3 linked regions of the Notamacropus eugenii genome follow. The main gene of each other region encodes a partner of the protein of the gene in region 2 in a complex. Links are inferred from orthologs where the notes say so. Each region holds a gene or a part of one and is shown on either strand. Other genes may lie near its edges.

Region 1 (9,433 bases), about 20 Mb from region 2:
AGCTCAAAAGGCTCTACCAGAGGTTGGGCACAGATAGTTCCTGTGAACATTTGGGGTGGTTACTCCAAATCTGTGCATCCTACGTTTCCTTTGTGCTGGCTCAATTCTACTTTACTCATAGAGCACAGCACCCTTTCTGATGTGGGCACGCCATGCTGAGTGGTTCTGTGTCAGTGTCTCCCATGTTGTATAGTCAAAGTCCAAAGTTCTTGAGAGAGACCTGGAGAGTGTCCTTGTATCGCTTCTTCTGACCACCATGAGATCACCTGCCCCATACGAGTTCTCCATTAAATAGTCTTTTTGGCAAGTGTACATTTTGCATTTGAACAATGTGGTCAGTCCATCGGAGTTGCGCTCTCTGAAGCAGAGTTTGAATGCCTGGCAGTTCAGTTCGAGCAAGGATTTCAGTGTCTGGTACCTTATCCTGCCAGGTGATCCTCAAAATCTTCCTAAGACATTTCAAATGGAAGTGATTCAGTTTCCTGGCAAGGCACTGTGTTTTAATAAATGCTTGTTAAATTGAATGGAGCTAGACTCCTAGAAGAAGGGTTAGAAAATGCCTGTTACAAATTTGATCTTTTGGAATTGGGCAAGCTAGTGCTCGCTATGGATATCGGCTTATTCTTCCACCAGAAAATAATAGAATGGGACAAGATGATCTATAGTGTGCTTTGAGCTGTCATGTGCTGTGGTATGACTGATTTATTTAGAGGTGGAAAATGAGGCACACAGAAGTTAGGTGACTTGTCAGGGTCACACAGTAAGTTTCTATGGCAGGAGTTGAGCTCAGGACTTCCTGTCTCTGTGTCTCACTCTCTATTAGCTATGCCATCTAATTGCACACAAATGTGTGAGAATGTCTGGATGGCTGGATGGATAGAGAAAGCATTTATTAAACAGCTACAACATATCAGGCACTGTGTCACAGGCTAGAGATAAAAATACACAAACGAGATAGTTCTTGCCCTCAAGAACTGAACATTTTAATGAGGAAGCCAGCCTCCATAGTGAAATGGCAGCTAGGGAAGGGAGTTGTGGTTTGGAGGGTCACAAGGAAGGGGGAGTGCAACCATAGGGCAATCCATTATCATCCCTTTTCCAGAAGAGATCCCTTTTCTGTTCACAGACCAAGAGGTGGAAAGGGAACAATGTACAGCAATGATCAATCAGAGCTGATTCAGGTAGATGGACAGATGGATGGATGGGATGGGAAGCACAGTCTTTTAGTGGACTGGATACAGTGAATCAGTTGAGTTTACTCTCCTTCACCAATCCTGATCAAAGTCCCAATCAAACAAACAGTCAACAAGCCTTTATTAAGTCCCTAATATATGCTAGATACTATGCTAAGAACTGGGAGACACAGAGGAAAAAAGAAAAAATAATCTCAATCCTCAAGGAATTTATAGCAAACTCCTCAAGGCAGAGTGCCAAGGCTGAGTAGATTAACCACAATCCCATATACTATAGCATGCCAATGCTGTCTATAGGGTTTTCTTGGAAAAGATACTGGAGTGGTTTGTATTTCCTTCTCCAGCTCATTTTCCTGGTGAAGAAACTGATGCAAACAGGGTTAAGTGATTTGCCCAGGGTCACACAGATAATAAGTAACTGAGGTCAGATTTTGAACTCAGGTCTTCCTGACTCCAGACCAGTGTTCTAACCACTGAACCACCAAGTTGCCTCTAGTTAACCTAGGAAGGTACTTTTGGGTATTTAGAAACTGCTAGGTGTTAGGCCCACTGCTTTATGTCCAGAGCACTGGACTTAGGGTCAGGAAGACCTACGTGTCAATCCTACCTAAGATCCTTGCTAGTTCTTTGACCCTAGGCAAATCACTTGCCCTCTCTCAGCCTCAGTTTCCCCACTGTAAAAAAAAGAAATAATAATAACACTGCCTGGGTAGCTAGGTTGGCACAGAAGATAGAGCACATTACATAAATAGGAGGTGGCACATATGGACCCACGTCTTCAGAAGAGCTCTTTCCATTCTACCCCAGGGCCAAGCAGAACAGTCTCCAGCAGCTTCATGCATTTCAAAGGTTTCCCCATCTGTTACCTCCTTGATCCTCTCAACAACCCTGTGAGGTAGCTACTCCAGGTATCCTTCATTAATTCCATTTTACAGATGAGGAAACTGAGGCTGCAAGCTGTCTTCAAACGCAGGATAAAAGAGCACTTAATTGGATATGTAATAGAAGGATCTGAGTGGCATCTAGGCACTGTGGTGTTAAGGCAAGTAACATAGCACACAGGAGGGCTGCTAGCACAGGTTCACTCTTGATCTGGTCAGACAGAAAAGACACTAAGACAGCTTTGAAGGGGTTAATAATCTTACTGTATTCCAGTCTAGTCTTCTCACAAGAAGGTTGTCAATAATGGGAGCACAACTCCTATAGCATTACCTAATCACCCTTCTTGAAGACCCCTAGGTCTTGATTGGGTCAATCAAGACAGACACAGCTTGTGCACTCCCCTCAATCCCCAAAAGCTTCAATGGGGGCCAGTCAAGGCACACAGAGAATTCTAGTTTGTCCATTCAACCCTAAGGGTTCCCCATTCACTGACCAGCGCCCACCTGCTTTATAGGGCAACAGACAAAGGATGCATATTGCCAGCAAAAGCCTCACAAGTTTACATCACCTCATCCCTGTATCTCACTGTGCAGTCACAGTAGATGTTTATAATTTAAGCACAAATGTTTAAATTATTTATCATTATATAAAGTTGCACAAACATCATGAGATATTTTGAACCATAATTGTGAGAACTTATATCTAATACCTGGGAACAAGAGATTGTTATGACTATGGATCCTGGGAAACTGAACTCTAAGAAAGAATAACAAAAATCCACTTTACACATACTAAAATCCACTTTACTTACAGGATGACTCAGGGGACAGAGCGCTGGACTTGGAGTCTGGAAGACCTGAAGGCAAATCCAGCCTCAGAAACTTATTGGCTGTGGCAAGCTACTAAACCTGTCTGCCTCAGTTTCCTCATGAGTAAAATGGGGATAATAATAGCACCTACCTTCCAAGGTTGGTGTGGGGATCAAATGAGGTAATTTGCAAATCATTTGGAAAACTTTAGAGTGCTATATAAATGCTAATAATTATCATAATTGTTAATTATTATTAGATCCAGACCATGCCCTGAAGGACTTACAGCTTTGAGCTCTGGAACTCTATCCCTTGAGCCCATGTTTCTCTGATTAGTGAATGTCTCCCACATCCTACAGGTAGGATGGCTCTGGCCACACCCCTCATCAGTCCTTCCACATGGGACGTATATGCCTCTCCAGCTGAAACAGATATGTCAACTTCCTTTATGGATAGGTAGGTAGGTAGAGTATTTGTTAAGAATTTGCTTTATGAATGAATGAATGAAATGAATGAATAAATGAAAAAAGCATTCATTAAGTGTTGGGGATACAAAAAGAAACAAACAGTCCTTGCTCTCAAGGAACTGACATTTTAATGGGGGAGATGACCATGTGGAGGGTTCCACATCAGATGGAAAGGTCCCGTGGTCCTTAGACCAGGCATGCAGCAGCAAAGCAGATGGCATTGCTTTTTCTTTAATGCCATTTTCACTGATAAAGCTAAGTTAGTTATGATTCTGCTCACCATCCCTGTGTTTCTACAAACCAAAACACCAAACTGACATAATTACATTTTTGGAATAATCCTTTAGAATGGAAGTTTCTGGAGGTCAGGGACTATTTCCCTCCTGTACTTACATCCCCAGCACTTAGCACATTACTTGACACACAGTAAGCCTTTAATATTTTTTACTTTCATTCATTCTAAAGTTAGAAAAGACCCTAAAAATTATCTGATCCAATTGTCTTGCTTTAAAAATGAGACTGCCTTGATTGATCACTCTTCAGACATTCCCTGTCTCTAGTCCAAGCCTTGCCCCCAAAGCATCTACCCTTTGGCATATCAGAGAATCCCTGTGTCCAGTATGGGTTGGACTCCATGTCCTGGGAGAGCCCTTACACAATTCAGAGATTCTGGGAAACAGACTCCACTGGGCTTTAGTCTAGACCAGGGGATCCTACCCTGGAGACACCCCCAACCTTCAAGAGACTTAATGATATATTTCAGGGGATCTCTGAATTGGGTGGGGAAAATACATCTTTATTTTCATTAACCTCTAACTGGAATTTAGCATTTCCTTCAAATAAAAGGGCCCTCAGGCTTCACCTGGACCAAGGGGTACAGGACACACAAGAAGGTTAAAGACTCAGCTTCTTGATGAACTCTGGACAGCCCTCATTTTGTTTTGCCTTTCTTTGTATCACAAGGCTTTTTATATGGTAAAGCCTTAATTAAAGTTTTTTCACTCACTATCTCCAGCTCCTCATATTCTGAGAGGTACCTGTAGGACTGCCTTCCCATCAGAGAAGGGGAGACTAGAATTCCTGGTCCAGGAGGGCTGGAGGGAAATCTGGTGGCAAGACCCCGAGCTGGAAGTAATCTTAGAGGCCATCTAGCCCAACCCTCCTGTTTGACAGATGAGAAAACTGAGATCCAGACATCCACTGACTTGCTTAGTCACACAGCTAATAAAAAATAGAGCAAGATGTTCACTTTCCAAATACGGCACATTTTTCCACTGCACCTGGTGTCCCTTGATGACCCCAGAAGATGAAAATAACCTCCTCTCCCCCGCAGAAACCCAGATCACCACTCATATTTGAAAATAATAATTCTATGCCTGATCAGGCCGAGTCTGGGAAGGAAAAAACTATGCGTCCTCCTCCACTCCCTCACCATAGGAACCCAGGGGCCGCGTCCTGGTTACTAGGCAAGGAATAGCTCCTCCCCGTCTGCAACAACCCTCCACCCCTTACAGACGGCTTCTGGACTGGCAGAGGCGTCCTTAGCCCGGGTCTCATTTCCTTTAGGCCTCCAAACACCCGCATCCTCCAGACTTCCTTTCCAACTGGGGAGATTGGGGTGGGGGTGGGGCTGTCTCAGAATCCCCTCCTCCATCTGCCTGGTACCATTGTCAGGTCTCTTATCTCGCTAACTCCAGGGCTCAGCCTTGGCCCGCCTTTCCGTCCCGGACAGTTATTTTGGCCCATTTAACTTTGCTCCTGTCTCCCTCTAGTCCCACCTCTCCGACCTGCCCTGATTGGTCACTCCTCAGACATCCCATTCCCCCCGCCCCCCCCCCAACTCTTGCATTGTTGCAAGATTCTAAAGTCAGAGGAAGGAAGTTGTGTGTAATTGACTAAAAGGCCGGGGTTGTCACCAATAAAGTCTGTCTCCGAGAGGCCCAGGTCCGGAGGCCTGGAGGACCCGGAGAAGCAACAACTGGACCGCCATGGAAAAAAAGCCTTCTCCAGGGAAAGAGGAAGGAGAAGGAGAAGAGGAAGAGGAAGAGGAGGAAGAGGAGGAGACTGGTCCCGAAGGAGCTCTGGGGAAGAACCCATTCCAGCTGACAGCCGAGGATGTCTATGACATCTCCTACGTAGTGGGAAGGGACCTAATGGCCATCACTGGGGACTCCAAGGATGTGGCCACCAGGGTGACCCAGCTCCAGTTTAAAATCGTGCGAATCCTGGAGATGCTGGAGTCCCTAGTAAATGACTGCAATTTGACAGTAGAGGAGCTCAGGATGGAGAGGGACAGCCTTCGAAAGGAGGTGGAGGGGCTCAGAAGCAAGGGGCAGCCCCCAAACACGGAAGAGGTATGTACATACCATTGAGTTATCCTGTTTATATGGTTTTTTTTCGGGAGGCAATCGAGCTAAGAGCCTTGCCCAGGGTCACACAGCTACTAAATGTCTGGGGTTGAATTTGAACTCAGATCCTCCTGACTCCAGGGCCAGTGAGAGTGTATCCATGCTATCTAACTGCCCCCACCCACTGAATTTTTAACATGTACAATGTTTGAGGCACAAGTAGGGCAACTGGCATGGGGACTGGAGACCAGATCACACAAAGATCCATTGAAGAAACTGAGCATGCTCAGACTGGAGAAAATTTAGGGATGGGTGAGTGGACATAGGGCAGTCTATTAGCAATGCCTTTCCAGAAGCAATGTTAGTATGGATGGATCTACAGTTCATAGGAAATAAGGTACAGCAAGGATCATTCAGTGCTGGTGCTGGGATGGATAGATGGATAGATGGGATGAGAAGATGAGAAGAGAGCTTTTTCTGCTTGGCCTCAGAGGGCAGAGCTAGCAGTTTAGAGGGGAAATTACAGGGAGGGAGATTTTGATTCAATATGAGAGAGAGCTTCCTTAGAGCTATCTAAAATGGTGGTGTAGAGTCTGATGTACTGGAGGTCCTCAAACAGAGCTTGGACAATCACTTACTACCTGGGTGATCTTGGGCAGTTCATTTCCCTTCTCCAGGACCTCGGTGCTTTCATCTGCAAAATGAAGGTTTTGGGCTACCTGTGCAGCCAGCATGCTTCTTCCCCCTGCCCATTCCTTTCACTCCTCTTTGCTCAGCAGGGAGGATCTCCAGGCCCCTGATTACATTCAATAGCCCTTCCCGGTTTGCCAGTGTCCTTCTGAAAATACAGTGTCCAGAATTGAGCCCAGCACCCTATAGGTGTTCTGATTGTACGTGTGATTGTAGGTCTCATCCAGCCCTAATCATCTTCTATCAAGAAACACCGAGGACCTTGAAGGGTGTGCGTATATCTAAGCAGACTTCTAACTAGTCATTTTGATATCCCGGGCAGGGAGGCCCAGGCTTCCCTCTAACACTGCTAGGAAGGGAAGGAGCCCACTTAAGCTTTGGTGTTTATTCTTTTTTATTAAAATTTTTTATTAGAGCAAGGACTGTCTGGCTTTTGTTTTTGTATCTTCAGTACCATACATGGTGCCTATCACATAGTAAACACTTAATAAATGCTTTTCCATTCATCCATTCATCACTGATTAGGCGCCAAGCTCAGTTGTTTTCATGAACTGAAGGACCTAGGAACCTCTTACTTTCAGAGCCCTGAAGAAAGCCCTGATTTCCCTACCCTTCTGTGGGGGAAGACCTGAGTTGGGGCAGTTTATCTACGAAGGAGAACTGTGCTAGCTATATAGCCAGCACAGTGATGGGGCCTTAAATATCCACTCTACCAGTTTCCTGTGTGGATCAAGCTGGGCACCCCCATGATACAGCAGATGAGATGCACGTTCTGTAATGTGCATATGAGGCTGCCGGTCACGTATCAGAAGGAAAGTAATGTCAGAGAGAGTAGCTCTATTTATCTGAGCTTTTTGGCCAGCACATCAAAGAGGCCTTTGGTCGTCTTTGCTTAGAAGAGTCTTAAGGTGCAGACTTTAGAGCCTTCATGGGCAGGCTTGTAACTCCTGAATGTACCTGAGCTAGACAGGTCATCTGCTCAAAGTCCCTTAAAGAAGGGGGACCCACTACCTCCCCCACAGATAGCCCATTCCATTTTAGGGGAGCTCCAATTCTTAGAAAGATTTTTTTCTAACATCAAACCTCAATTTACTATAGCCCTCTGTTCTGCCCTCTGGGACCAAGGAGAGAAAATCCAATCCATTTCACACAGGACAGACTTTCAGATAGTTGAAAGCAGCTATCCTGTCCCCCAAAGTAACTCCAAGTCTCCCCCATTAGAATGTGAGCTCTTAGGATGCTCTCAGAAAAATCAGGAAAGACTTACATGAACTGATACAAAGTGAATGTACTGTATACAAAATAACAGCACGATTGTAAGATGATCAGCTCAGCAATACGATGATCCAAGACAGCTCTGAAGGACTTAGGATGAAAAATGCTGTCCTCCTGAGAGAGAACTGATGGTGTCTGCATACAGACTGAAGCATACTTTTTAAAACTTTATTTTTATTGAGTTTTTTGATCTGCGTTTTATTTCACAACATGACTATTATGGAAATGTTTTGCATGACTACATGTGTATAACCTATATCGAGTAGCTTGACTTCTCAATGAGGGGATGTGGGGAGAGAATTTCGAACTCAAAGTTTTAAATAGAAGGTTAAAAATTAATTTTTACATGCAACTGGGGAAAAATAAAACACAATTTAAAAAACTGTGAGCTCTTTGAAAACAGAGACTGTCCAATTTTTCCATTTATATAGCGAGTATTTAGCGCATTGCTCTGCATACAAATAAGCCCTAAGGAAATTCTTCAATCATTCAAAGTGAAACATGTCCAGTCTCTTCAGCTGATCAATTTACAAGGATTTATTAAGTGTCCACTATGTTCCAGACACTGTCCTAAGTGTTGTGGATACATCAGTTCTTTCTCTGGATTTGGATAGCATTTTCCATTATGAGTCCGTTGAAATTGTCTTAGATCATTGGATTGCTGAGAGGAGCTAAGTTATTCAGAGTTGATCATCACACAATGTTGCTGTTATTTTGTACATTGTACTCCTGGTTCTGCTTAGTTCATTTTGTATCAGTTCATGTAAGTCTTTCCAGGTTTTTCTGAAATCCACCTGATCATTCTTCCTTTCTTTTTTTAACATTTAAATTTATTGTTTTTCTAAACATTCTTTTCTTTTTCAATTTTTAGTTCCAAATTATCTCCCTCCCTCCCAGGTCCTTCCACCCCTACTGAGGAGATAAGCAAAAATGATATCACATTATTTCTTATAGCATAATAGTATTCCATTACATTTATATACCACAGCTTCTTCAGCTGTTCCCCAACTGATAGGCATTCTCCTCAATTTCCAGTTCTTTGTCACCACAAAAAGCGCTTCTATAATATAAGGTACATATAGAGTACCAAGGCAGATTTCAACTGATGATCTTATGGTATAGACTTGTGACCTTTGCCATTCTGGTTGCCATCGTGTAGGTAGGTCTCTAGTATCCTTCACTTGTGGAACGGTGGGCAGAGTGATGGGCCTGGAGTCAGGAAGACCTGAGTTCAAAGCCAGCCTCCTACATTTACCAGCTGTTTGACCCTGGGCAAGTCACTTAACCCTGTTTGTCTCAGTTTCTTCAAATGTAAAATAAGGGAGTAAAAATAGCAATGACTTCACAGAGTTGTTGTAAGGATCAAATGACTTGATAACTGTAAAGCACTTAGCATAAGTGCCTGGCATGCAGTAGATGCTTAATAAATGCTTGTTCCTTTCACTTCTTTCCTAATTGTAATATAATTAGGGACTTGCCTAGGGTCCCATAAGTCAAGATTTGATTCGGGTCTGATGAACCCAAGGTCAGCCCTCTTGGCAGTATCCAATACTGCCTTCTTCTTGCTTCCCTTGGAAGGTGAAATCTATTCTCTGGGTTTTGAGTTACACTGAAGAGACAATAAATTGATCCCACGCAGGAAAAAACATAGCTAACATTTTCATAGCTGCTTAAGATCTGCAAAATGTTTTACATACATGATCCAACTTGATCTTCACAATAGCTTTACTAGGTAGCTTCTATCTAAATTTTTATTGATATTTTTGTTT
Region 2 (10,371 bases):
CCAAGGTTTAGAGTCCTGGCCAATTTGGCACATTTTATTGCATTATGGGAATTCACTGCAAAGGTCTTGAAAATGAAAACATGTATTTTAAGCAAGATATATCTGTTTTTAAACTTTGTTCTGGGATTTCAGGAAAACATGCAAGGTAATGTTTGCATTAGTGATATCCCTCTCCTTGGAACTTCAACAAGAAAATAAAGTAGAATATGAAAAAGCCAGTCTACTATGCACTGACATGATCCAAACATAATGTGAACTAGTGTTACTTCTCTACCCTGATGAGAAGTGGATACAGGCTTTCCCCTAAATTAAATACAAGTATACAGGGATGACAGACCAAACCCACATGGAAAGAAGGATGTATCTGGCTAGATCTTGACAATCTTAGAATGTCATATGATTGAAAAAGTTCAGCTTAAAGAAACCCCAAATGGAGTGCTCAGAAAGTCCCAACAACTCAAAGGCTATGCCTGACAGTCAAAAGGAAAATAGCTCCTTTGAGCTAGGTGTGAAACACAAAACTCTTTTGAAGAAAACCTGTTTGTTCAAGTGACCAGCCAGAGTTGTGTAAACAATTAGAGGGGAAGAGAAGAAGCCCTATAAGGGGTGCTGCCCTGTTTTACTGACACTGAATTTCGTTGATACTTTAAATCAATATACTGTAGAAATTAAAGGGCCTAGCAAAATGCATCAGTAAAGACAAGAACATTAAAAAAAAATAAAATACTAGTAGTATAAAGATTCTTACCATATCTGTAGTTTAATTCTTTTGCCATCTAGCTCTATGGTTCTAATTTTGAAGTCAATGCCTGAAAGAAAAATGTGACATTACTAGTACATTTCAGAAGTTCACTACTGCTTTTGTCATGTGTTTTCATTACAGCCTCCAAGCCTCCTTTTCACCTCAGTGAAACCAACTGCACATCCCTAACTCAGCTCTCCAAACTGTACATTTACAAAAGTCCCTGTGGGGCTATATGAAATAGAGCCTGAATGAAGAGAATTGATTCTAAGAGGACAAAGAGCCAAGCTTTAAATGATAAAGAGTCTTAAGGGTAACCAAAAGAAAGTATATGTAATAAAATAATGGCAAAAAACCACAGCAGACAATTAGTCCAAAGCAATAGAAAAGACTATCACACTATATTGCTAGAAGCAAACTGCCCTCATCCAGCTTTTCATTATATTCCAGGGTATGACTGCTAGATGCTGATTCTAATTAAACTCCTCTTCACTGTTTGTGACAAGAATTTAAAGGGACATGTGATCAGAGGTGATGAATTTGTACTGCCCTTAAGGCAACACTTTGTTTCATACTTTTCTTTGGTTTTGTTAATACCATAAGCTTAATTAAGAAGTGTAATTTATGGGGCTTAAGAATCAGGCCTAATTACAAGGTAAAGAGACAAGATGGTGCAGTGGATAGAGCTGGCGTTGGAGTTAGTAAGACTTGGGTATGAATCCCGCCTCAGTGGGCCTGTCACCAAGCAGCTGTGTGCCCCCGGACAAGTCATATAACTTTTCAGTGGCCCTGGCAACTCTCTAAGACTATAAAATGCAGAACGTCAATCTATATGGGTGGAAAGAGTTTGCTTTTAGGGAATTTTACAAAACTACAGAAATCATAGGTTCAGTCTCCACTCTCCCCTCTTCCCCCAGATTACAAAGTAACAAACCTTCCTGCCAATACAGAGATAAAAGACAATAGAGAAACTAAACTTCGTTGAGGTGGGAGTATCAGTATGTGGAGTCTAGGCTAGGCTTTTCCACTACTCTCTGGGTAACCTGAAACAAGTCATTCTTTGAACTGATTTTCCATCAGTGAAATGAAGGACTAGAATGAAATGATCTCAAAGCCCACTGCTGCTTGAAAACACTAGGATTCCTAAATGAAAACCTGAGAGTGGATCTCAGTAGAACTGGTAAGGAGCTGGAAAACTTCTACGGTGAAATATTCAGGGAGTAAATACAATAAAGGTCTAGGTTAAGAACTAGCTATGCTACTACCGCACATGTACTACTTTTTGATTTGCAGGGAAGTAAAGAGGCTTTAACTTCCACTTCTCAGAGGGTTTTAAAGAAACCAGAATGAATCAGTAAGAAAGAAACCTATGCTCAGAGTGGGACAAAGTCACTAAACCAGCTATTTGCACTCCCTTCCGTAAGACCTCAAGCCTCTAAGAATAGGAAGTTTCAGAAACTCCAAAAGGGCAGGGACCATTCTGTCATGTAATATGCTTTGCAGCTGGAAGGGACCTCAAAGGTCATCTAGTTCAATTCCTTTACCACTTTTGGTATCCCTATCCCTTGGCACAGCGCCAGCTAGTAGTAGGCACTTGATGTTTATTGAATTTAATTGTATACAGATGAAGAAACCCAGACAATTAAAGTGACTCCCCCAAGGTCACACAGGTAGTTAAACAGCAGAACCAACCAAGATGTAAAGTCCAGATCATCTGATTCAAAAAGTCAATCTTTCCAAGGCTCTACACTGCCTCTCCATTCAGCTAATTTTTGAATGGAACCAGCTCAGTCCAAGTTACTCTAAAAGCTGGAAGAGCACTGCCAGCAGCTCCATAAGTACCCACTATTCAATACCTTTCATATTCACATCTTTATTCAACAAGTCTCATTTACTGTCAATGCAGGTGCTTTCTAAACTCAAAGTTCCTCTATGGAGTAACAGCTGAACTTTCAGAGCATAAAGATACGGAAGTCTGGCTGGAGCTGATTAAGGTGCAGTGGGGTGCTTTTATCTGACAGTCATCTACTTTTGATGACACAAAGGAAGGTACTATCACTTCATCTTAGCTTCAGGACTATTTTAACCTTATAATAATGAGAGGGCTGAAAACAGGAACTAAGGTTACTTACTCTCAACAAATGTCATAAACCAAAAAGTGACTATACAAATGTGAGCTATTCTTAGAGACCAGAAAGAACATCTAGTCCAATGCCCTCATTTTACAGATGGGAAAACTGAGTCCAGAGAGGGGAAATCACTTGTTCAAGGTCACAGAGTTAACCATAAGGGCCAGAAGTAGAACCCAGGTCTTCCAGTATTCTTTCCATTATATGCTACTGCTTCTTCTAGTGATCTCTCTTTGGAAACAGGGAAGTCAGAAGGGAAAAGTTGGGAAGTGAGAGGGAAACACAACTGCAGTGGTACTTGGTGACCATCTTCTGGGTTTCCAGGCTCTATTTCCACTTTCATAGCCAAAACACTTAATAGAAACAGAGCTGTGGTGCGCATATTGGGAGTTCAATTTGAAACTAGCTACTGGCAGAAGGAGCTCTAGACTGAGAATTCCTGCCTTGTAAGGTGCTTAAGAAACCTTCGGGGACCTGGAAAGAATCAGCAGTCTTAGGTCACTAGGCAATGTGAGACTACCCATCTCTCTGCGACCTTGGGTAAATGAGTCCTCTTCTCTGGGCCTCAGCTTCCCAAGCCATAAGAATAGGGTCGGGCGGTTCGGAATTGGACTAATGGATCTCGGATGCCGGCTTTCTCATCGTGTCAGAGGCTGGGGAACCTAGGGGTAGACAGGTCGCAGCATCCCTGGGCGGGGGATGGGAATGGTAAGTGTGCCCCTAGCTTCGTGGGGACATGGGAGGGAGAACCCTAAGGAAAGCAACATAAAAGCCACATTGTGAGACCCTCCTGGCCCTGGGTTGGCTGGCCACACGGTCAGCCTTTGAACCTGGGAGTCAGAGGTAAATTGGAGGCAGGTAGTCCACTTCCCATAGCTACCTGGACCCCGGATCCCGTCCCAACCATCCTCCCACAGCCAGGATCCCCCCGATCATGAAAGATGGGGTGGGGGCTGTTCCTCCACCACCCCCCTGATTCCGTTGTGCTCTCCTTCCCCTGCCAGTAGCTTCTGTTGTCTCAGTGCCTGCTGGTTCCCTCTCAGACACTCCGGCCCGCCGTGGTTCCCTTCCCAGCCCGCCCCCCACCAAGCCCCAGGCCCCTCTCCGTCAGCCCAGACCCCCTGTTTTCCTGTTGTTCCCTCCCGGTCAGCTCCGCTCCCCGGCCCTTGCTGCCCTCTCATCCCCACCGTGGCTCCCCGTCAGTCCCCTCCGGGCCCTGCCGGCCGTCCCGGGCCCCATTCCCTCCCAGCCACCCGGGGCCCCGCCTCTCTGCCCCTTCTCCCAGCCCCGCTACCTATAGTGGAGATGAAGGTGGAGTTGAAGGCGTCCTCGGAGAATCGGAACAGGACACAGGTCTTCCCCACCCCCGAGTCCCCGATCAGCAGTAGCTTGAACAGGTAATCGTAGGTCTTCGCCATATTACACACTATACCTCCTCGACGGGAAGTGCCGGCGGCGCCTCGACACTGGACGCCGCCCTTGTCAATCTGCGGCGCGCCCGCCCACGATTGGCCGAGATCCCGTGGCGCGTCACGGCGGCCGCCGCCCACCCCTCGCCGGCCCCCAGGCCCCCTCGGCGGGCTCCGGGAAGAAGATGGGGAGACGAAGCAGGAAGCAACCCTGAGCGTGCCTCCCATTGGCTGAGCTCGCGTTCACTTCGACAGCTTGGTCTCGGGATTGGCCAGAGATAGAGACTCGAGGTTCAAATGGGGACTGGAGTGAGAGGGGGTGGAGGCGGGGACAGGGGAGGGAGGGGGCCGCTAATTCCCCGAGCGGAGCCCAGAGACCCCGCCCTTGCCCTCAGCTGGGCGGGGGAGACCTAGCCCGGCTCCCGCGCCCCGAGGCGAGGCTCCGCCCCTTCTATGGGGCGCGGGAGGAGAGTCACGTGAGAGGAAAGGGCGGGGTCCGGGCGAGGGGCGTGGCGCTGAGGGGGAGCTCTGGAGCCCGGAGCAGCCGTTAATCGCTCTCCGCAGCCGTTAACTGAAGCTGCCGGCAGGAGGCGGTCGGCTTCTCCTCGGCCGCCGCCGGGTCTGGAGGGAGGAAGCGGATCCCGCCGCTGGCTTGAGGCAGCCGGCAGCACCTCCAACCCGCGGACCCCGGAGACCGAGGCTCCTCCGCGAGGCCCCCCCCCCCAGGGCGTCATTCATCCGTTCATCAGTCCATCCGTCCGTCCGTCCGTCCGCCCGTCCGTCCGCCCGCCCGTCCGCCCGCCCGCCCGTCCGCCCGTCCGTCCGCCCGTCCGCCCGTCCGTCCGTCCGTCCGTCCGTCCGTCCGTCCATACGCCCGTTCATCCATCCATCCGTCCGTCCCTTCATTCGTCCATTGTTCTGTCTTTTTTTCCCTTCCCCTTATTGTTTTCTTCGAATTCCTTCCACGACGCAGTAGCAACTTCTCTGTAGCTTATTCTCGTAAAAGCCCCCTGGGGCGCGGAGAAGTTCTGTAACCTGCCCAGGGTCACACAGCGAATAGATGGCGTGTGAGAGGCGGCCTGAGAGCCTGGGCCTCAGTGCCAGGCCTGGCTGCCTCTAGGGATTGTAAATTCATCCCAGGGGAATGTTGAAGTCAGATATTCCCTTCCTCCTTCCCTCCTTCCTTCTCTCCTTCCTTCCTTCCTTCCCTCCTTCCTTCTCTCCTTCCTTCCTTCCTTCCTTCCTTCCTTCTCTCCTTCCTTCCTTCCTTCTCTCCTTCCTTCCTTCCTTCCTTCCCTCCTTCCTTCTCTCCTTCCTTCCTTCCTTCCTTCCTTCCTTCCTTCCTTCCTTCCTTCCTTCCTTCCTTCCTTCCTTCCTTCCTTCCTTCCCTCAGTTCTTTATGACCCACTATCTAATGTTCACACCTCCATTCTCAGAGCTTCAGCTTCCAGGGTGGCTTAAAAAAAAGAGCAGGGGAGTGTCATTCTCCTCTTCAAGTAGCTTCAATGGATGCCCATTCCCTACCAGATGACATGTACACGTTGGCCTTGCAGGCTCTCTGCAATCTGACTTTCCTTTTTCAAATCAAAGGAGTTTCAGACATAGACACATAACTGAAAAATGTATAGCATTCCATAGTAAGTGCATTAGAGAGGTGCAAAACAAATGACTATGTGAGAGAGATTGTTGCCTGCCCCTTCCCTCCCACTAGGGACAGCTAGCTAGAAGTGGAATTTGATTTGAAGGTGAAAGGGTGAATTGTGTTGTGTCCCTGTTGCCATCCCAATTGGTTTTTAATGGAACCTGTGATTTCATTGGTATCATGAGCTGGCAGGGAAGAAACTCCTATTTATAAAGAGACATCTGCTCTGCCCTGAAGTCTTAGAGAGGGGGCTCAGAGTTAAACGATTTGCCTATGGTGAAGCAGCCAGTTTGAACTGGAGGCTGTAACTGAACAAAGGTTGTGCTAGCTGTCTACAGATTACACCAGTCTCCTTCTTTTCTCCCATACCCTCTTCCACCATTACCCTGCTTTTGTATCAGACTCTTACACCCTGTGGTTTCATTGATATAAGGAACTCCCAAATGAGTTCTGCCACTGTCTACCAAGCATGTTGGCACCTTCTCCCTAACTTAAAGTCTTAAGAGAGTTGCCTAAAGTACGAAGAAATTGAGTCACACAATCAGTATGTCATCAGGCAGCACTAGAACCTGGTCTTCCTAGCTCAAAGGCCAGCACTTGCCTATGCTGCCCCACCCTGTCTTTTATATCTTGTAAAGTCAGTATGCATTTACTAGTGTCTATGGAGGGTTTGGGCTAAACTCGTAATACAAAGAAAGGACAAAACAATCCCAGCCTTCAAGGAATTTACAATCTAACAGTACAAATGACTATATATAAATAAGATATATACTGGAGAAATTGGAGATGATCTTTCAGGGAAGGCACTAGTATTAACAAGACACCAGGAAAGATTTTTTTGCAGAAGGTAGGATTTTAGATGAGACTTTAAGGAAGTTGGGAAAGCCAGGAGGCAGAGGCAAGGAGGGAAAGGATTCTGGATCTGGGGGATGGTCAGTGAAAAGACTGATCTTTGAGGATATGGAGGTTTTTGTTTGAAGGAGCTTTTTGTTTGAAGAACAGCCAGAGGAGCCTGCACTGGTAAGGAGACCAGAGTCACTCTTTGGGAGAGTAAAGTGAAATAAGACTGGAAAGCTAGGAAGAGATCAGGTGATATGGGCTATGAAACCCAAACAGATTTTATATTTAGCCTAGAGAGTGAATGAAGGGGAGGAGAGCCCTCTGTCACTTTAGGAAGATCACTTTGATGAATAAGTGTAGACTGGAGTGGGGAGGGGTCAGAGGCAGGGTGACCAAGCATGAGGCTATTGCAATACTTCAGGTGTGAGGTGATAGGGACTTAGAGCAGGGTGGTGACAATATCAAAGGAGAGAAGGGGTGTATATGAGAGATGTAAAGGTAGACTCTACAGTACTTATTAACAGAATGGATGTGGGGAGTGAGAATGACATCTCTATTGCAAGTCTGGGTGACTAGAAAGATGGTGGTGTCCTTGACCAAGGAAGTTTGCAGTTTGCGGGAAAGATAATGAAATTAAGTTTCGGACGTATTGAGTTTAAGATGTCTATGGGTCATCCAGTTCTAGATGTCCAGTAGGCAGTTGGAAATATAATGAAAATCAGGAGAGAGGTTAGGACTCGATAAACCTGAGAATCATCTGCATTGAGATGATGACTGAACCCATGGGAGCTGGCCACCATGCAAAATAGTAGAGAGTTAGAAGAACTTTGGGGTATGACTGTGTTTAGTAGGCATGATGTGATCATTATTTTTGGAGAGAACTGTTGCAATAAAATGATGTGGGAAGCCAGATTATAGAATTATGAGAATGAGAGAAAAGGAAATGAAGACTTCAGTTGTAGGTGGTCTTCTCAAGGACTTGAAGCTACAAAAGGGAAGAGAGATGGGATGATAGGGAGGCTGGACAGATCAAGTGATTTTTTTTTTGCTGAGACTGAGATATTTGTAGGCATTGGGGAATCAGCCAGTACACAGGGAGAGATTGAGTATTAGTGAGATGGAGGATGATGGAGGCAATCCACTGGAGAAGGTAAGATGGAATGGAATCACTTGTGCATGTAGAGGCATTTACCTTGGCAAGAGTGAGGCAAGAGTAGATAGTGGCAGAAGGTATCTGAGTGGTGTGAGAAGAGGGGAGAAAAGGACATTCTTTTTTTCCAACCAGTCCTTGTATGGCATGAATCCAGGTTTCTTATAATTTTACCCTTTTCTAGAAGCTTTCCAGCTTTCTTCCTAAAATGTGACACCAAAACTGAACACAGTAGTCTAGATCTGTTTAGAGCAGAATGCAGTAAATGCTTAATAATTGTTGATTGATATTATCACTTTCCACAGTCCTGGACAAAAATAACCTGTCTCTTTTAAACATTTTTATTGATATATTTTTTTTACATCACCTAGCTTTTCCAATATGTTCCTCCTTTTTCCTTCTTCCTGGAGACCTATCCCTTAAAATAAAGACTAAAGGAGAAAAAAAAGCTAGTCAGCAAAACTAACAAATCAGTCAAGTCTGATATATGGAATGTTCCACGCCTATAGTCTCCTATATCCACAAAGAGCAGTATTTTTTTTTTTTTAAAGTACTGGTATCTTTAGTTTTTACATCACCTACATTTCTTAATATTTCTTTTCCTACTTCTTTTTCCAGAAAGCCATTCCTTGTAACAACAAAAAATCTGCATCCATTGTGCCCCACCTCTGCAAAGAAGGGAGGTACATTTTCCTATCTCTGATCTTTGCTGGTGTTTGTTGTTTGCTAAGCCTTTTAATGCAGTCCAAATTGCATGACTTTACTGCCATATCACAGTGTTGACTCACAGGGAGCTTGCAGTCCATGAAAAAATATCTAGAGATCTTCTCAGATGAATTGCTGCCTAGCATGCCTTCCCTATGTTGTAGTTGTTTGTGAGGTTGATTTATTTTTTTAATCTTTAGTGGAATATTTTCCATGTAAGTCCTATTAAATCACATCTTATTGGAATTGGCCAATTTTACAACTCTTGTCACTTGTGTTAGGTATACCTTTCACAGACCAGGGGACACATTTGCAGAATTAAAATGGAAAGCATTCCCCAGACCACTCCAGTAAACATTTAGCGGCTCTGCCTGTTTTCAATTCAAAACCAGTTACACCAAAGATAACAGCTCTTTGTAAGAACTGGAATTTGACACATCTAATTGAACTCTTATTTTCCCTTCCCTTACCACACATTACCTTCTATTACTATTTGTATCCGGGTATTTCTCCCCTACCAGAACATAATAAACTCCATTGGAGACCATGTCTTCTTAGTACCCCTATGGTTTGTAAGCATTCCAAAAAAAGTTTGGAGAAAGGATGAAGTAATGCATATTGGGCCTATCATGTTGGTAGTACGTAGAATAAGTGTCCAAATGATGAAGACAGAGAAGTAATTTGTTAGTTTATAAGATCTACATATAAAAAAAGCCTTCTTGGTATACTTTATTATTACAGTTTTCAGTGGTTACCTAGTTGAAATGGCTCTTACATGAGGAAAAGTGGATATAGATATGTTTTCGTTTATGAGTATAATTGATATTTCCATTTATGAATGTCCCTTGATGATTTAAGAATTCAGCATTTCCGTGTCTTCCCCACCACACACCCACATACATACATACCACACCACATTCAAAAACTCAAAATAGTTTATGTAAAAATTTATTTGACCAAAAGCTAGAAAAAGGTGATACTATTACATATGATACATTTGGTAAAGATCTAAATGAAAAGCTCTGGTTTCATTCAGCTTCACATTTCCTAGTGTGTTTCTGGGTAGTGTGATGCTTAATAAATAGGAATGAGGACTGGGATTATATGCTAGAAGCAGGGTAGTTTTGAATCACAACTGTAAACTTGAGTCTTCATATCTATTCCACACTACTGTGGAATAAGGAATGTTTTAGCACTGAGCTGTACACAAGGAAACCGTTTAGCAACAACAAATAGGCACTGTCTGATTCTTTGAATCCAGTTCAATCAGGAGGTTTTTGGTCTTTATTAAGTTGGTCCCCAAAATAGGGATTAAAATCCCTCTAAAATAAAACAACCTTCCATTTGCCATACTATGGCAGTCTAAAATAAAATTAAGACAATTAGAATTTTATTTTTCCTTTAGTGACAGTGAGGCACCTTTAGCCTTGTATTTCTAGCCAACAGATTCATGGACACAGAAAGTGGCACGGAAAAGGGCTGGAATCAACGATGGGAAGCACTACCATGCTACAACCACCAGAGAGACAGGCTGCCATATGAATTTCCACTGAATTTCTGGCTGACTTTGTGGCTGATGCTCAGCCATACAGAAATCAGGGAACCGAACAAGAACAAACAATGTTCTTTATTTGGAAAGAAATTTTCAGTTGCTTTGTAGAATAAATTCCTAAATGAGAGAAGTTGGTAAAATACTATACTGGTCCAAATATAGGCTGATGTCACCTAAAATCCTAAAATGAGATCTCTTTTAA
Region 3 (9,945 bases), on a different chromosome or scaffold from region 2:
TTACAGGCCAGCAGAGCATCCCAATGGGTCCCTGTCACCCAGTTCATCCCCAATCTCTGACCCTGTGCCCTTTGGGAAGGGCTAAACATCCATAGAGATAGATCATTCATTCCACATAATCATTATCTCAAAAAACACACAGTGGCTACTGTGGGTCAGGCACCAGGGGTACATAAACAAGAGTGGAACGTCCTGCCTTGAAGCAACTTAGCTTCTGCTGGGATTCGGAGCAGGGAGATTAAAGAAATACGTGATAGTTCTGAGAGGGGGGGCCCTGGCTGGGGGCCAACTCCAGACTCCCCCACTTTCCCCTGATCCCCTCATTTAACCTGTTTAGGTCTTGGGGTCTTTGTCAGTGAAACACGAGGTCAGAACAGATGATTCCTGAGATGCCTTCTGGCTCTAAAATTGTGCCCTGACACCCCAACAATAATAAAATTAGAGCCAGGTTGTGAAGGGTTTTAAAAGTCAGAGGGACTTCTTTTGGCTCCTGGAGGTAATAGGGAGTCATGGGTATTTAATGAGGGAGAGCAATGACAGGGTGAGATCTGTACACTAGGAATGTCATTTTAACAGCTGTTTGGACATGGACACAGATGTGTGGAGAAAGGAGTGGGCTGAGAGTCTGAAGGTAGGAAGACTAAATGAGAAGCTACTGCTTCAATAATCTAGGAAAGGGGATGAGGGGTATGGTTTAAGAGGTGAAGAGGTCTAAAAACAAGACCTGGAACACATAAGGGAGCCTGAGATCAGGAGATCGGGAGCCTGGGGGATCAGAAGGACAGTGATGCCTTTGACAAAAACAGGAAGTCCAGTGGAAGGGCAGTTTGGGGGATGAGGAGACAATGAGCCCAGTTTTGGACACGTTGAATTTAAGATGTCTATGGGCTGGAGTCAGGAGGACCTGAGTTCAAATCCAGCCTCAGACACTTGACCCTAGTCACGTTCCTCAATCTCAATTGCTTCCAAATAAAATTTTTTTTACATTTTTTAGTAAAAGGATGTCTATGGGACAGTGAGTTTGAAATATACAACAGGCAGATAAAACCAAACAAATATTCACATGCCTATGAGCTCCCCTAGTCCCCAAATCCCAGGATTCGAGAGCTGAGAGTGACCTCAGTGGCCACCTAATCCTAATCCACCAGTCCATAAACAAAAGGAATTCCTGTTATAACATACCCACCAACTGGTCCTGCAGCCTCCCCCTCCAAGGAGGGGGAGCCCATCACCTACCATGTCTATTTTTAGACAGCTAATTGTTAGGAGGATTTTCTGGACCTGGAGTCAGGAAGACTTGAGTTCAAAAGTAGCCTCATACACTTACTTAAGTGACCCTGGGCATGTCGCTTAAGCCCATTTGCCTCAGTTTCCTCAACTACAAAATGGGAATAATCATAGCACCCATCTCTCAAGAATATTGTGAGGGTCAAGAGATGATACGTGTAAAGCATTTAGCCCAGTGCTTGGAACAGAGTAAGCGGCATATAAATGTCGACTATTACTTCGTTTTTATTGATATCAAGCCCAAAGATTCCTCTCTGCAATGTTCACTCATAGCTATTGGCTGTGCCCTCTGGGACAAATATTTCAAATATATGAAGCCCCTCCTCTCCCTGAGATATCCCTCAGCTCCTCCAACAGATTCAAAACCCTTCCCTCTGTAACCCTGACTCTCCTCTGAACCCTCTCCAATGAATCGGCCTCCTTCTTAAACTTGGATTTTGGAATAGAATCTGACAAAGGTAGAGGACAGTGGGACCAACCACTGGAAGATGCACTCCTCATGGTACAGCCCAAGACTGCATGAGCATTTCTGGCTGCTTCCCCCCACTGCTGATTCATACTGAACTTGTGGTCCATTAAAATCCTCAGGTCCTTCTCTGAACTGTTATCTAACCAGGCTCCCCACCAATCTTATGTTTGTGAAGTTGATTTTTTGTACCCAATTACAAGACTTTAAAATGATCATTATTGAATCTCATCTTATTTCAGGCAGTCCAAAGCTCTGGCCTGTTGTAATCTTTTTGGATCCTGACTGTCATTCAGTATCAGTGGTGTCCCAGCTTCGTGTCATTGGCAGATTTAATGAGCAGGTCATCTATGCCTTCATACAAGTCTGTCATGGACAAAAGATTATATATCCCAGTGCCAGACTGAGAGACCTCAAGCTGCAGTGACATGGAATCATGAGTCCAGCCATCCAATCAGTTCTGTATACCACTGATTTTATCCTCACCTAATCCCTATCTCTTAGTATGATGGACTTTATCATAAACTTTGCTAAAATCCAGGTATAAAATGTAGTCATAAAATTCCCCTCTCTACCAGCCTAGTAATCTTATCCCCAAAGGAAGCTAACGCATCATGGAATTCCTCTGGTCCCTACCCCTCACTCCTCACATCTTTCCCTTCATAAGAGTCTAAATTTGTCCCCTGGCCTCGGTTTCCTGCTCCCTAAATCATGGGGTTGGATTAGTCAATGATTCTTAACCTAGGGACCCCATCCACGTGGATAGATATCAAAGGATCTGTGAATGCAGATTGGGGAAGGTGGGGGCATACATATTTTCCCTAACCTTTAACTCAAATTTAGCATTTCCCTAAATTATTTGTAAACATGACTGGGCAGAGGTTCATTGGCATCACTACTAGACTGCTCCCCAGGAGATCAGGACACAAAAGAGATGGAGAAGCCCTTGGTGTGGATGCCTCCCAGGTCCAAGTCTTACTATTCTACTGGCAGAGACTGTGTATTACCTACCTCTGTGTTCTGATGGAACTCATCACTATTGGAGAACTTCCTGAGGGCAGAGACTCTGGGTTTTCTCTAAAGGTTTTCCCCATTCCAATGTCCAGCACAAGGCTTTGTATATAGTAGATGCATAATAATTGTTGGTTAAGCATGAATCTGTTGTTGAATGGGCTTTTTCTGCCTAATGGGTATAATAATCCTTGCACTGAGAGCCAGCCTTGAAACTGGGAAGACCTGAGTTCAAATCTTGCTTTTAACACATAACTAGCTGTATGGCTTTAGGCAGCTCATTTAAGCTCTTAGTCCCCACCCCAGGCAAGACCATGAGTTATAGATGAGTTCCCTAGCTTTATCAGAAGAAAGACTTTTCCATGCAGTTTCAATAAAACCTTTGTCTGGACCAAACAAAAGAAACCCTTGGACTCCCAACCTCCTAGGAGAGCAGAGAGAGATGCTATAAAAAAATGAACTCTAGTGGTCACATCAAGTTAGGGGGCAGAAACTCCAGCCTCCCAATGTCGTTTTCTTTGCACCTTAGGCAAGAAGGGAGGCAGGGTGGTATGGGGTAAAGAATCCTATCTCTGGAGCCAAAGAACCTGGGGTCAAACCCTGCCTCTCTTATTTATTCCCTGCTGTTTGACCTTGGGCAAATCACGTCCTATCCTTGGGTCTCAGTTTCATCAATGACCTCGAAGGTCTCTTCCAGTTCTAATCTATGGTCCAGTGAAGAAAACCTCACTGGACTGGCTGGTGTGAGAAGCCCTGGCCTCTGTGGTGGGTTGTGGGTGGGGCACTCACCTTACAGGTTTCAGCTGAGCAGTGTCCATGGGTCCTGGGGAGATGTCAGCACACGGCCTCCTAAGGTCCACTTCTCTCTTTTCCAGGCCAAGGATCGTCTGGGCCCCTCTGCTGGGATGGCTACAGCTGCTGGGGTCTACTTCATGGTGCACAGGTAGAGTCCACCAGGCCCATCTGAATAAACACCCCAGAGGTCTCTCCCAATTCTTTGCTCAGGGGTCGCTGGGCCCAGGAGGTGATGAAATCAGTTTCTTGCCCTGCTTTCCCATGGTTATAGTGGTGGGATGGAGTGTGGGGGTGGTCCAGCTTAGTGGTGCTGGAGGCCCTTCAGACTAGGCCCTCAGATATAAGAGTCTTTGGATGCTCAGGAGGCCTGGACCCAGGTCCAAGGGTCCCTCATCCCTTCTTAAGCCAGCCAGCTCTCTCCAGCCTTCTGTTCTCACCCCTCCCAAACAGGTGGATCTCTTTCTTTCCAACTGCTTTCACCCTCCTCACTCAGTGGGCAGGGTATGGACACCTTCTGAGGCAGGAGGGAACAGAGGGGCCCCTTCAGTCTTCAGGTAGCCAACCAACCCCTCTGCACCTCTCTCCTAGGCCCTGGGGGTTTTGTCAGGGTGGGTCAGCCCCCAGGGCCCCTCCCTCCTCTGCCCACCTCCAACAGGGGGTCCTGCTCTAAGCCTACTGAGTAAGATGGCTCTTGGGTTGGTGTCCAAGGGCCTGGGGGGCTGTTGGGAGACCACTGTGATGCGCCCCTGTCGCTGTGGTTACCCTAAGTGTATGATGATGTCAGCATTCTGAGGGCTGGAGCCCCACACTGTCCAACTACAGTTATCTCCCTGGGACTTGTAGTTTGCTGTGTCCATACTGTCTAAAGCTCTGTGTCCAGCCTGTTTCTATCACAATCTAAATAATAATATTAATTGTTATAATGTCATTAACTTAATCTTGATTTCTTTGAAAGGTATCTAGCCTTGGAGTCAGGAAGACCAAATCAAAAGTATGCTGGGTCTGCAGTCAGAGGCTCTTGGTTCAAATCTCACCACCTGTGACCTATAACCTTGATCTTGCAAAGCCATACCTGGGCTCATCTTTAGAATGAAGAAAACATTCCACATGACCTTTAAGATCCCTCATTTTTAACTCTGTGACCCTTTGCTAGCCTGTTGACCTTGGACAAGTCCCTTAGGCTCTTCCTGGGTCAGTCTCAATCCTCTAAGGCCTCTCTCTAGGACTATGTCATTCTGTATTGACAAAGGGAATTTCCATAATGGGAGTTCCCTAGACAGGTGATTACAAAATCGCTATTATATTTAATTAATTTAACACTATTATACTACTGTCTCACTACCAGGTAGGCTAGAGAAAGAGAATGTTTTCAGGCACAACCCATTACTCTCATAAACTGTCCATTAAATCTCAGAAGGGTTAGGCTTTACAGCTTATCCAGTCTGTATAAATATGAATATATATAATATATACAAATATAAAAATTGAGCACCTGTGCTAATGAGATCCTTGAAACATGATTTATGATATATTATAAAATAAAATAAGTTATTGGGCTCATTAATGTGCTTAATAATATTTAATATTTAAATAATACTTTTATTAATATGATAAGGAAGGAGGAAGTACCTGGGAGCCAAGAGGGTGGTTGACAGCATCAAAGACTGAACAGAAGTCAAGACGGACAAGGTCAGCAAAAGACCAGTGCAGCAGTCCAAAACTCCTTAATCCCATTTTACAAATGGGGACACTGAGGTGCATGCCACTGGTGAGAGGGCTTGCCCAACACCGTGTGGGGGAATAAGGCTCATACACAGAATACGAACTCTGTTCCCTTGACTTTAATAGAAGTACTCTTCGAATATCACACCCTAGCTAGAATTAGTCCCCCAATTTATAGATGAGAAAACTGAGACCCAGAGAAGAAAAACTTAAAAAAAAAAAGAATAGATTTTTATTACTTTTTTGTCTTCATATCACCTGGATTTTCTCCTCTATCCCTCCCCTTCCCTCTACCATCTATTCCCTATAACAAGGAATTTATTTTCTAAAAAAAGAAAAGAAAAAAATTCAACAAAAACTAATCAGTTCATTGGAAAAAAATTGATATGATAGGCAATGTTGTGGGCCCCATCCCCTAGCTCAAAAAGGAGGGGGAGGCATGGAAGTAGCTTTCCTGACACTCCTTGGCAGGTCCCCTGATTTTAAGTCTAAAGCTCTTTCCACCACCCACCTAAGAGGCTGTAACAAGAATGAGAGAGTCACGGACCCCTAACTCTCCCCAACTCATCTTAAAGGAGCTCAGCTTGCCCTCACAACACAGACTTTTTCTCAGGAAAAAAAGGAAGGTCAAGGGGCCAGCAGGAGGGCCCTTTGGGGCTAAGGCACCCTCCAGTGGTCGCTCTGGGAGAGGCAGGGACTTGAAGCCCAGAATCCTCACAAAGCTCCCCTCCTGCCTTGGCACCCTAATGGAAAGAAGAGGGAGTATGAGGCTCCCTAAATCAGCATTTCCCAAACTCCCTGGGCCTCAGGACACTGAGGGAGGGGAGGACCTGGTACCGAGTGAGGGAACTTGGAAATGCTCTCAGGCTGGCTGAGCCCTACACATTTCACCTCTTTTGTTACTGCAAGTGTTTTCTGTGCCCTCTAAATCTGATGCCCTGAGACAAATCCCAGTTGCCCTGCCCTGATTTTGACTCTTGTTAGTGATCAACAGATGGTCCTTTGTTTACCCTTGCTCTTTGAAGGCAATGTACCATTTCCCAAATGCAGCCTAGTCCATTTGTGGGGTCATAGATTTACAGCAGGGAGGGGCCTCAGAGTTCATCCAGTCAAAGCCCCCACCGCCCGTTTATAAAATGAGAAGTCTGAACTTGACCTCAGAGGGTGCTTCTAGCTGAGGAAGGTTGGCTTTTGAAAGCAAACACTTTGAGATTAGAGAGAGGGTGATTCCATGTTTTCTTTCTTTCTCTCTTTCTCACCTCCTTCCTTCCCTCCTTCTCTCCTCCTTCCTTACTTTCTTCTTTTTTTGCTAATTTGCATATTTCTTGTAATGTGTGCTTTTATTTTAATTTTAGCTTTATTTTTGTCTGTGTGTTTTTATATTTTAGGAAAATGTCACTGATATCTCTGGTTTTCATATCACATCCGTTTTCCCAACATCCCTCCATCCTCTGAGAGAGCTAGACCTCATCACAAAGAGTGAAAAAGAGGGGGAAGACAGTCTGTCAGAAGGCACTGACGCATCAGCCAAGTCCAGTATCATCCCATGCACTGACTTGCACCCATAAGCACCCCCTGGACCTCTCCTACCCTTCACCCCTCTTATATCAGCCTGTTTCAATGCTTTGCTTACCTATATGTGTTGTTAAAGAAGGTGCCACCTGCACTGGACTCTCTTTCCAATGTCAGTGAAGGCCAGGGTGAGGAGTCTGAACTTCATCTCATGGGTAACAGGAAGTCACTAAAGGTTTGTGAAGGCCAGCAAAGGTCGAGATGTGCACATAAGCCTTATTATAATGGATCTGTGAACTCTCTGGTAACCCCTGGTGCTGATAGAAGCCCATCTTAGTCCTCTCCTCCTTAGGAAAGGAACTATGCCTTTAAGTCATTCAAGGTCACCTAAGATTTTGGGGTTTTCAGGGCAACCTCAGCTACAGTTAATCTCCCAGTCTGTCAATGGCCCACCATTGTCATGGAGGATAACAGAATCTTGTGCATTTGGAGAGGTCTAAGGTGAGAGATTAAATAATCTGTGACATCACTGGTATGAAGAACTCCAAAGTGAGGAAATTCCCTCCACTGAAGCAGGTTGGTTCCTTTTTTGCAACTTCTGGAGCACTGAGAGAATAGGGGACTTGGCCAGGATCACACGGCCAGTACTTCTCAGAATTAGGACTTGAACCTGCGTCTTCCAGTCTTAGAGGTGAGCTTCTATTGGTCATACCACACTGTCTCTCATACTGGATACAAAATCAACTTTTGTTGTGTTGAGTTTTTGTAGAGACCGTTCTTGTTTGTCCGTCATTGCTAAAGAAAATCAATGATATCCTGGGGTGATGCCTTGACTTGTGTATAAAGTGGATTTAAGTGAGGAAGAGCCTCACAAAGTTGTCTCTCTTCTAGGGTCATCAGAATCCAGTGGCAGGGCAAAAGTCAGGATGATGGCTATGGCCCAGGATGAGGTGGGTGACCTTGGCACCTTCCATGTCCAAACAAATGCTAAGTTCTCCGTCGCATGTGCTTTAGTCACCTTCGTGGCCGCTGGAACAAATCATTCTCCTGTACCCGTTCCACTGGGAAAAATCTTCACATGCTTGAGGCAGACACACTCCTAACTCACCAATGGGTTTGAGGTCCATCAGTTACCTGTTACCTGGTTTAGTCCATCCAGCTTCTTGGAGTCACAGGTGAGAGCTGGGTGACACGTACACGAAAGGTGGATGAGCAGTCCTCCCACCAGAGGTGCTGGTCCTCCCTAAATACCTCACACATCTCACGTGTGCAAAGGTGAACTGGAAATACATTACCCTCAAATCCACCAAGGGACTTTAATTTTAGTTTAAAGTGATGCCTTTCATTCCTACTGTCCCTCCCTTGACACATGAGAAAGCTATTAAATCTCTCAGTGCCTCAGATAGCTCTCTAAAATGATCATTTGTAGAGGGGTTGCAATCTGCATTGGTAAAGAGAGTTCTCTCTTTAGTAGTTCCACATATCAATGAACTCTCAAGTTCATACCTACACCTATCCTTGTGTTTTTATAGCCCAAGCATTTCCAGCTGTTTCTCTTTCCCAGCCCCAGACATACATGCCCACAATCATGTGAGTCTTCCCTTATAACAAAGAAAACCAGCTCTCACCATAACCTTATCTGATGGTGTGGTCAACATTCTGCACCCATAATCTCTCACCTCTCCAGTCAAAAGAGGGAGATACATTTCCTTGTTTCTTCTCCAGGGCCAAAATGGGCCATTACAATAATGTTCATTAGGCTTTATTTCATTGATCTTTTCACTTCCATCACTGAAGTTACAATGTTTTGCTTTCCTGATTCTACTTGTTTCACTCTGCATCAGTAGCTTGAAAGATTCCCATGCTTCTCAGAATCTCCTTTAATTGTCTTTTCTTACAACTCAATAATATTCTACTCCATGCATGTACCATGGCTTGTTCAAACATTCCCCAAGCAATGGGCACTCATTTTGTTTCCATTTTTTTGTGACCACAAAAGTGCTGCTATGAAAATATTTGTATATATGAGAACTTTCTTTCTGTCCTTGGCCTTCTTGGGGGCATAATCCCATTGAGGATTGCCACAATGGCACCACACTGGCTCGAGTATGAACCATTTAGTAATTTTCTCACATAATTCAAATTGTTTTCTAGATTGACATACCAATTCACCACTCCACCAAGAATGTATGAGTGTTCCTGTAGTCCTTAACCCCTACCAAGTTCTCGACACTGATCTTTGGGTTGGTCTTAGCATAGTGAACAGAGTGCTGAGCTTGAAGTCAAGAAGACCAAGGCTCTGATACTTACTAATTGTGTGACCTTGGAAAAGTCACCTAAACTTTCTCTGTCTCATTTAGTTTCTTCATCTGTAAAATGGAAATAATAGTAACATCTCATAAGGTTGTTGGGAGGACCAAATGACATTATTGTGCATGTGTGTGTATATATATATATATATATATATATATATACTGAGAAAGAGTGCTTAAGATGCTGCTGAATGTTAGCCATTATTACAGATTCTTCTAAGAGAATGGTATTTGAGGATTCAGTTATTTGACATTGCTGAGAGAATACTTAATACTTAAGCCTTCATATCATGTCAGAACCTGATATAACTTGGTGTTTACTGACTATATTTCTCTCTCTCTCTCTCTCTCTCTCTCTGTCTCCCTCCCTCCCTCTTTCTCTCTCTCTTTCTTTCTTGTGTTTCCCCAAACCTTAAACCCAGTGTACTTTGAAACCCATGGATTGGACAATAGGTCCCTGCCCAAACTCCACTTAATGGCTATTTTCTGGACCCTCCTGGCTTCACAGTGATTATCAATAGTAATTGTTGCTCTTTCCCTCCCACCTTGATTTACTTAAATTTTTTTCTTTTGCTCATTAAAGGGACCATTCCCTGATTACTTTTTAAAGAGGCCTATTCACTGAATGGGCATCACCTCATTCTAAGTGAGCACCTGAATAGGCCTTAGCTGAAAAAGGCCAAGGTCTCCCATTGTATCCTGGGCCAACTCCAGTCATCCTGATGAATGTCACTAGTCACTGGATCCAGATGACTCAGGAGGAGAAAGTGAGGATGGTGACCTTGCACAGCCCTCCCTCACTCAAAACAAAGTCAAGTGCAAGTCATGTCATTATTTTTC

The links.
Region 1: the proteins of RAB8A (region 2) and RILPL2 are in contact, whole or in part, in a crystal structure (PDB 6SQ2), measured with the Homo sapiens proteins. The link is inferred for Notamacropus eugenii from reciprocal best matches to the Homo sapiens genes RAB8A and RILPL2. Residues at the interface, in NP_005361.2 of Homo sapiens: Ile41, Gly42, Ile43, Asp44, Phe45, Lys46, Ile47, Lys58, Trp62, Phe70, Ile73, Tyr77; in NP_659495.1 of Homo sapiens: Leu135, Leu138, Arg139, Leu142, Gln143, Arg145, Asn146, Lys149, Ser150, Leu153, Glu157.
Region 3: the proteins of RAB8A (region 2) and RAB3IL1 are in contact, whole or in part, in a crystal structure (PDB 4LI0), measured with the Homo sapiens proteins. The link is inferred for Notamacropus eugenii from reciprocal best matches to the Homo sapiens genes RAB8A and RAB3IL1. Residues at the interface, in NP_005361.2 of Homo sapiens: Lys10, Phe33, Ser35, Phe37, Ile43, Asp44, Phe45, Lys46, Ile47, Gln60, Trp62, Thr72, Ile73, Thr75, Ala76, Tyr77, Arg79; in NP_037533.2 of Homo sapiens: Arg104, Glu108, Leu111, Glu112, Thr115, Ala116, Phe119, Glu120, Ala122, His123, Arg127.

The regions. Positions count from the first base shown.
Region 1 is NC_092875.1:38,796,749-38,806,181, reverse strand, and holds the start of RILPL2 (RILP-like protein 2), read left to right. Parts: upstream 1-4,913; 5' UTR 4,914-5,339; coding exon 5,340-5,705; intron 5,706-9,433. UniProt on the Homo sapiens protein: Involved in cell shape and neuronal morphogenesis, positively regulating the establishment and maintenance of dendritic spines. Plays a role in cellular protein transport, including protein transport away from primary cilia.
Region 2 is NC_092875.1:59,137,842-59,148,212, reverse strand, and holds the start of RAB8A (ras-related protein Rab-8A), read right to left. Parts: upstream 4,624-10,371; 5' UTR 4,509-4,623; coding exon 4,166-4,508; intron 810-4,165; coding exon 749-809; intron 1-748. UniProt on the Homo sapiens protein: The small GTPases Rab are key regulators of intracellular membrane trafficking, from the formation of transport vesicles to their fusion with membranes.
Region 3 is NC_092873.1:13,632,547-13,642,491, forward strand, and holds the start of RAB3IL1 (guanine nucleotide exchange factor for Rab-3A), read right to left. Parts: upstream 4,259-9,945; 5' UTR 3,583-4,258; coding exon 3,554-3,582; intron 1-3,553. UniProt on the Homo sapiens protein: Guanine nucleotide exchange factor (GEF) which may activate RAB3A, a GTPase that regulates synaptic vesicle exocytosis. Promotes the exchange of GDP to GTP, converting inactive GDP-bound Rab proteins into their active GTP-bound form.